2 linked regions of the Drosophila melanogaster genome follow. Changing the gene in region 2 together with the main gene of any one other region gives a genetic interaction. Each region holds a gene or a part of one and is shown on either strand. Other genes may lie near its edges.

The links. A genetic interaction does not mean that the proteins touch.
Region 1: of Act88F (region 2) and fln, changing one suppresses a phenotype caused by changing the other (phenotypic suppression), as found in Drosophila melanogaster (one study listed by BioGRID).

What each region holds. Positions count from the first base shown.
Region 1 is NT_037436.4:19,989,006-19,992,885, reverse strand, and holds fln (flightin), read left to right. Parts: upstream 1-1,665; 5' UTR 1,666-1,737; intron 1,738-1,762; exon of another isoform or gene 1,763-2,034; intron 2,035-2,146; exon of another isoform or gene 2,147-2,251; 5' UTR 2,252-2,255; coding exon 2,256-2,515; exon of another isoform or gene 2,516-2,581; coding exon 2,582-2,737; exon of another isoform or gene 2,738-2,799; coding exon 2,800-2,932; 3' UTR 2,933-3,335; downstream 3,336-3,880. UniProt on the Drosophila melanogaster protein: Possibly involved in the regulation of flight muscles contraction, possibly by modulating actin-myosin interaction.
Region 2 is NT_033777.3:15,438,010-15,442,706, reverse strand, and holds Act88F (actin 88F), read right to left. Parts: upstream 2,739-4,697; 5' UTR 2,661-2,738; intron 2,108-2,660; 5' UTR 2,092-2,107; coding exon 1,167-2,091; intron 1,106-1,166; coding exon 900-1,105; 3' UTR 530-899; downstream 1-529.

The sequences.
Region 1 (3,880 bases), on a different chromosome or scaffold from region 2:
TGGTATACTTTGGGCCAGAAACGCGAGTGCGAGTGTCAATGCAGTTTGAAATCGCCTTTCGCGATGAATATACGCCGAATAAATGGAATTTTTGGCACACGCATACGCCTGCGTGTCACGTGGGGAAAGCACGGCCCGCGCCTACAGTTTTTTTTCCTGCCCTTCCTCCCCAGCGTTCGTTCGGTGTTACGGCCTTTTTATTTTGCACATAATATTCACACCAAATCGGGTAAGGGGCTCCAGTGGGCTCCAGCAGGGGGTGGGGGAGGGTGGTCAGCAGGGAAAGGCTGGCACTTGGACACCAATATTCCACATCGTATACCAAACCAAGTGTATGCGTTTCGAGCGGGGGTTTCTTTGGCGATGGCTTGCTACACAACTTGCTACACACGTTTAACTCCCAGTGGACCTCGGGTTCTCGCTTACATAAATTGGCACTGTTTTTTTTTTTTTTTTTGGAGCGAGAATTCGAATGCGAATTAAAATGCATTAATATAACCGGCTCGCACTGCTCGAACCGCTCGATTTAAATAAAGTAGTTTGTTGTTTGTGTCCATATGTGCTTGCGTGTGTGCGAGTGGGCATGGCTTTGTCACATGGTCCACTTGGCCCCAACGTACAATGTCCTAGGAAAACGATTTGCTTGCTTGATTTTTATTCTCCACACAAATTCGCCCTAAATTGTTATTTTTGATATTTACATATGTACATATGTACGCAGGTGCGTATGTACATATGTACGCACATGCAGTGTATATGCACGCAAAATGGGCTAAAGTGTGTATGTAGCTCGATTCACACGGGATTTTCGCCGCCTCGGCGGGAGGTGGGTGCGGTTATTACCTGAACGAAAATGACACATTGATTTTAGGCACATTTCTGCTACCCGCTAGGCTAAACAAAATCACTTTTCGCAAATGCAATAAACTTATTCGACCAAAACACAATCAATACAACAAATTTAGGGGTGGCTTAAATCGAGGCGATATATATACGAGCGCCTTATCGATGTGTGCTGCTGGTTTTCGCTTTTGATGTATCGATAAGTTAGGGCGATTGTTTTCACGCCGTTTAAACAAAATTGTTTTTAAATTAATTTCGGGGCTTTTAAGAAAATTATAAGCATGTATTTAAGCAAGAATACCAATACGGTTAGAGTATTAGTTAGATCGTAGATATAACCTATATAAATAAATTTATGAAGTGTTCCACTTTCGTCGTTCCCGTGATAGAGTAACGGTTCCTTTTTAAATAATTAAAATTCTTATTGGATTCATGATGAAACCAAAAAAATTTTAAAATAACAAATTTAACAATTACGGTGCGGATTTCTTATGTGAACATTTATCAACTAGGATTCATAATCTTTAGGCTTATTCTGGAAAAAGTTAACAAGTGTTGTAACTATTTAAAATTAAGTCCGTATAAATGAGCAAATTGTTGAAATCGATCAAATTGAGCTTAAAAGATTTATTTGACTACTTAAATTTGAATCTGCTTACTAACTTTTTCATTGTTCCGGAACTTTTGATGCTGAAATGTGAAACTATTTAGTACATAGGTGTTAATAGCGTTTCGGCCAATTAAATTTAGTATGTGAGTACGCATGCCAACCTTTGTATATAGATGTTGCTTCTCGATATATTTAGATTAAGTTTTCTAAGTGCATTTGTTTCGAGCAGCAGTTCGATCATTTAGTCTTTTTTCCTTTATATCAGTATAAACACTATAGTAAAGGTACGGTCCCTAATTTTTCAGTGGACCCAATGTCCTAGTTTTAGCTGCTAGAAAATCAATGTGAATCCCTTGAACGTCTATTAATAAGTCTATGATAAAAAGTCCTTTGGAAAGATAACAGTGATATGAGTGGTTTAAGAGATGAATCTATACAATTCAATCGATGAATGATGTAACTCATTATATGTAGATTATAATGCATTGAACCATTTAAATCGTCCTGAATTCGAAAGGTCTAAGAACGCCAGCTATTTGGGCGTCCTGAATTCCAAACATTTCCGATCAACTGCGAAAAAGGTTGTTTTAAGAACAAAATTGAAATTTAGGTTGTGTTGCAATGTTATGCAACGTTAAAAGGCCAACGTTTATAAAAAATAAGAAGACAGTGAATTTGTTAAAGTATCTTATTGTGATATAATAATATGATGATGGCTTACGTTACCTAGAGATCGAATATTGAAAGTGAATCTGTCTATGATAGATATATAATAATATTGAAAGGATTCCGTTTCAGTAATATGGCAGACGAAGAAGATCCATGGGGTTTCGACGACGGCGGCGAGGAGGAGAAGGCGGCATCCACCCAGGCGGGCACTCCGGCCCCACCCTCAAAAGCACCGAGTGTGGCATCCGATCACAAGGCTGATAGCGTCGTGGCTGGCACTCCGGCCAACGAGGAGGCTGCTCCGGAAGAGGTAGAAGAAATCAAAGCACCGCCGCCTCCGCCAGAAGACGATGGTTACAGGAAACCGGTGCAGCTCTACCGCCACTGGGTCAGGTTGGTCCTCCACTGTACTGTACAGCACTGTACCGTACTGTATCTTATGCAATCTGCACTTTTCAGGCCGAAGTTTCTGCAATACAAATACATGTACAACTACAGAACCAACTATTACGATGATGTAATTGACTATATCGACAAAAAACAAACTGGAGTGGCCCGGGAAATACCAAGACCACAGACGTGGGCGGAACGTGTCCTGCGCACACGGAATATCAGGTGGAGTAGCTAATCCGGTTTGTGTAAATATAGTAGTTGTTAATATTTGTTATCCACCTCAGTGGCAGTGACATTGATTCGTATGCACCGGCAAAGAGGGACAAACAACTAATTCAAACACTGGCGGCCTCGATAAGAACTTATAATTACCACACCAAGGCATATATCAACCAAAGGTATGCCAGTGTCCTTTAGTAAGCGCACCTAAATGTACCAATAGAACCGTCGGACGAACGGATGAGCACTCGTAGTTATATAAAGGGTAACCACCCATTGTCAAAAGATCCATACGTACATATGTGTATAGTCAGTCAGTAAGCGTTTGCATATCTGCGCATCTCAAAACTCTGTATCCTGAATCTGCCTTATGGAGTGGAGACCTTTCAAGAAAACGAATATTGTATATTTTTTCTTACATGCGTAATTTCTGTTAATATATTGCCATATGTACTTATTCATATATATTAACACAACTTACCTCTCAATACATGGTATTTTTAAGGTTATTTACTTCATTTTTAGCAAAGTGAGTAAATAAAACAAACCTATTTATATTGTAAAGCTTAAAATAAAAACTGTGCAATAAATAAAACTAAATAAACATTGATGTTTTTCCTATTCAAATATGACGGCAGGTATGAGGTATTCAAAAACTAGTGCTTAAAGAAATCCCCATGGGCATTTAAAAACTTTAACTTCATAGTCAAGCGCATGAGAAATCCATTTTTTATTATAATTTAAAACAAGATGAACGAAACGTTAAAACCCACTTTGGTGGACTGACTGGTGAGTACTGCCCTCCATGAACGAGTAAGGAAAATCAGAGTAGTCCAAAGTCCCCATAAAGTGTCTATTTGCATAAATCACAAGTGCAACCCCTCTAATAACACACAATAGGGTAAATTAGGCTATTGTGTGCGTTTGAATTAGTACAAGTACATTTTAGAGTGAACTAATCGCAAACTAAATTAAATTATATTATTAAATCACAAAAGAACTCAAAATAGAAAAGGATCACGATCATGAAAAATACTTTAAATATATTCTGTTTTTTCAATATTTTGTGTACTTATGTTATACTTACTGGCTCACCCTAATACATATATCTTATATGGGCGCCACGATTTTTCTTTTTATTTAAAT
Region 2 (4,697 bases):
TTCCTCTGCTCCATCCCCAACAATTATTCCGATTATTCCCTGAAACAAGCCTAGGGCATCCATCCATCCATCACTCACCGAAAACGAAGAGCTCGGCTAAACTAGTGCAATGCCGGTCTGTACAATAGTTGTATTAGCTTAGCTCCGCAATTAGTTAGTTAAGAGAGAGAGAGAGAAGTTGGGAGCAAATGTATGTGTAACTAAAACGAATACTCATATTATTTAGGATACCCCCCGATCGCACAAGCCAAACCAAACTATTCATCAAATCGAATTAACACTCTTGATTGATTGTTATCACTGCCAGATTTTCAACGTTCAATCGATTGTATCCCAAATCGCCTAAGTCCCGGTACCAAGTATCCTCGCTGTATTTTCATTTAACTAGCTAGGCTAATGCAAAACCAATGTTAACAATTAATTTAATGTCAATTAAAAGGAATTTAAAGCTGTTACCAACCAAACGTGGTTCGCACCTCCAGGGCTTTTCAGTACACGGGGGGGGGGCGGGTAATAGAAAAATGTATTTATTTAAAATATTTAATAGTTTTAATGGAAGATATATTTGGCTTTCAATTCACTGACTAGGGTTAAAAGCTCCTCATATACATTTGATTGCTACTCGACATGGAGCACAGCCACGACTCTTACGATTAGTTCTTCAAAGTAAAAATCCGCTATACCGCTGCCGATGAAATGGCCATGAAGGATGAGCACCGACAACCGGAGGTTGCCTCTGATTATCTGCTGTGAATCTGAGTTGGATGATAATTGTTGTGCGATGGGTTCGCTGCTTTTGTCTATCACTGTCCGAGCCGAGGTTGTTGGGTAGCTCGATGGGTGCTTGTTGGTCGCTGCTGGTTGCTGCCTTTGAAGAGCTTTCGCGGCGGGCGAAAGACTTAAAAGCATTTGCGGTGAACGATTCCGGGGCCGGACTCGTCGTACTCCTGCTTCGAGATCCACATCTGCTGGAAGGTGGACAGCGAGGCCAGGATGGAGCCACCGATCCAGACGGAGTACTTCCTCTCGGGTGGCGCAATGATCTTGATCTTGATGGTCGATGGGGCCAGGGCAGTGATCTCCTTCTGCATACGATCGGCAATACCTGAAAGTGCACCAAAGGATTAAGCACAAGTGCAACTGCTGAAGCGAATGATTTGTCTTACCAGGGTACATGGTGGTACCGCCGGACAGCACAGAGTTGGCATACAGATCCTTGCGGATGTCCACGTCGCACTTCATGATCGAGTTGTAGACGGTCTCGTGGATGCCGCACGACTCCATGCCCAGGAACGAGGGCTGGAACAGAGCCTCGGGGCAGCGGAAGCGCTCGTTGCCAATGGTGATCACCTGGCCGTCAGGCAACTCGTACGACTTCTCCAGCGAGGTGGAGGCGGCAGCGGTGGCCATCTCCTGCTCGAAGTCCAGAGCCACGTAGCACAGCTTCTCCTTGATGTCGCGCACGATCTCACGCTCGGCGGTGGTGGTGAAGCTGTAGCCGCGCTCCGTCAGGATCTTCATCAGGTAATCGGTCAGATCGCGACCAGCCAGATCCAGACGCAGAATGGCGTGGGGCAGGGCGAAGCCCTCATAGATGGGCACGGTGTGGGAGACACCATCGCCGGAGTCCAGCACAATACCGGTGGTACGACCGGAGGCGTACAGGGAGAGCACGGCCTGGATGGCCACGTACATGGCCGGCGAGTTGAAGGTCTCGAACATGATCTGGGTCATCTTCTCGCGATTGGCCTTGGGGTTCAGTGGAGCCTCGGTCAATAATACTGGATGCTCCTCGGGGGCCACGCGCAGCTCGTTGTAGAAGGTGTGATGCCAGATCTTCTCCATGTCGTCCCAGTTCGTGATGATGCCGTGCTCGATGGGGTACTTCAGCGTCAGGATACCGCGCTTGCTTTGCGCCTCGTCGCCCACGTACGAGTCCTTCTGACCCATACCCACCATCACACCCTGGTGTCGGGGACGACCCACAATTGAGGGGAAGACAGCACGGGGAGCGTCATCACCGGCGAAGCCGGCTTTGCACATGCCCGATCCGTTGTCGATAACTAATGCACCCGCATCATCGTCACACATCTTGGCAGTTGTTTATCTGGAAGGGAGATGGAAGTGCACTCGGTTAGCTCGATCTGTCGATTATATATGTAAAGTTTTATAGCTCCCACCTACATCTCAATTCTTTAAATTCTACTACTTTAATGACAACATAGAAAACTAATTTGTGTCTCAAGAAAATATTTAACTTTTTAAGATATTGAAGAAGTGAAGTGAAACTCTATTGTCCATTTGAGCACATTTCAGTAAATAAAACCATGAAAAATTGCCAAAATTGGTATATTCCATTTCCTTTTGACTCATGCTAATATGGTTATTCACTTGAAACTAAATCAGTGCTCTATAAATATCGGAAAAGAATAGTTCATAGAACTTAATTTAAACGTATCAAATTAATTGAAAATACGTTTCGTTGCAATTACTCTTCACTTTATATTTAGATATTGAACTTTCGAAGACCGATTAGTGACTTGTAGAAAAATCCATCAAACAATCCGAACTTATTAAAAAGAGTTTTAATATCCTTAGTCCTCTTGGCTTTTTCTGTAATAATCCTTGGATCCTTCGACATTGAGGTCGCACTCACACACCTTTTAGGTCAACGAAAGGAGAAAAATTGGATAGAGTCGCACGTTCGATTCCTGTTGACAACTAGATTCAACAACAAATGGCACGCCGATCGGTCTGTCCTGCCTTTATATCTCGGCTCTCCCTCGAAGCGATTTGAGTTGGATGCCAGTGCGGCACTGAGAAAAAGATTGAGCGAAAGTGCTGCGGAACAATCGATCCATATAAGCAGTTTTCAGACTTCTGGCCGAGCATGTCAGAAGTTTGGATGCCTCATTGCACGAAGACGACTCATTAATGCGCTTCACAAAAAAAGGAAGCCACACAATTAAATACTTAATAAAGCATAGAATCATTTATTAAGATTACCAATAAATTCAATAAACGAGGGAATTTCCAAACTACGAAAATATGACATTTTATATTTTTTTCACATTGTTAGTAGGTACAAATCCTAGAAAAGGGTCTCATAACATATAACAGCTTAAATAACTATGTAGTAGAAGATAAACTTTATCTTCAATTCAGTTCATATTTAATCCTAGAAATATTTAATTAATTGACAATATATGATAGAAGTAAGCTATCAATCTTAGGACCCTATTCATTATTTGTAGGGAGTGCCAGGAGAGAGAAAGCTCTCGAAAGATAAGAGAACGCCATAGCCGAGTGATTAGCAGAGGTGCGTGATAGTCGGAGCATGGGCCATCTAAACGGCAATCAGCACTCTCGAGTGGCCAATTAGCCCCATCTCCGTCCCCATCTCTGTCCCAATCCTGCTGCCAATGGGCGACTGCTGCGGCGGACGACTCATTCGGTGCTGAGAGTTCGGAAAATAGAAACGGACCTTAGAAGGACCGACGCAAGACAATTGGCATCCGCGGCAGGGACTGGGAGAATGGGACATTTCAACGGGCACGCAGCGAGGCGAATCTAAAATAGACGCGCCAAGCAGAGCGGCACCTATAAATCAACATCAAGGTTGATCGAGATCTCCGCGCGCGGTGCTCGAGGAAGCTGCATCCACATTTGCAATCGCATTCTACAGAATGCTGCTGCACTTTGCATTGCGGCGCCGATGCAATCCCGAAGATGCGAAATCACCGTGCCGACCATTTATCAGTGCAATTAACCAACCATTGCCAGCCAGACCGAGCGAAAATGTATTTTCTCAATCGAACTGTATTTATCCTTTTATGTAGATTTAATTATTTTTTACTTCTTTCTATTTACGTTTTTATTGCTTGCCCACATGAATAATCGAATGCGGTTGGTCTAAAGATAGGATCTGATTGCTCGGAAGTGAATTGGTGGCATTCCCAAAGCGTTTTATTTGGTAATTGCCTTGATTGACATCGTGTATTGAGCAAGAGGTTAGTGGCTGCGAACAGAATTGTTCACCATTCTTATCTTTATTTTTTAATTTATGAAAAGTCATTCAACCACTGAATTGATTGGGCTCACCATTTATTTAAAAATTCATATCTTAACTAAATTTGCCTATTGTGCATTCTAGATATTTCTGAATTATACTTTTATTTCGGCAAATTGATATAATTGTGAAAAATATTTTAGAAATTTAAGTGTTTTTTTAAAAATTACACTTCTACTGCACACTTTTGTTCTCTTTCTATCGAAAGATAAATTAGTAATTAATTAATTTAATTACTATAACATTATGTAAACATCGTTAAATATTTGTATACCTATTTGTACGGTTTCAGGAATAATTTCTATTGGATTTGTATTGATGTACGTAAGAATTTCCCACGATTTATTTATTTGAATATTTCGTAGTCGAGACAAGAACCATAAACTAAAAGCATGCAAGTCTTAGCATACTTTTCGGCTGAAGTAAAAGCCAATCATAGATGGCGCTGTAATGCACAGCGAATGGTCTTTCACTTAACAGCATTTAAACGAGTTTATGATTTTCTATCTGAAAAGAAGAGAATATGACACATCGAATGGCTCCGAAGATAAATAATATATTGAAATAGCTCCAGCACGGGCCCCTGAAAAAAAAAGCTCGACGGAACCCGTTTCCGCTAGCGCACCTA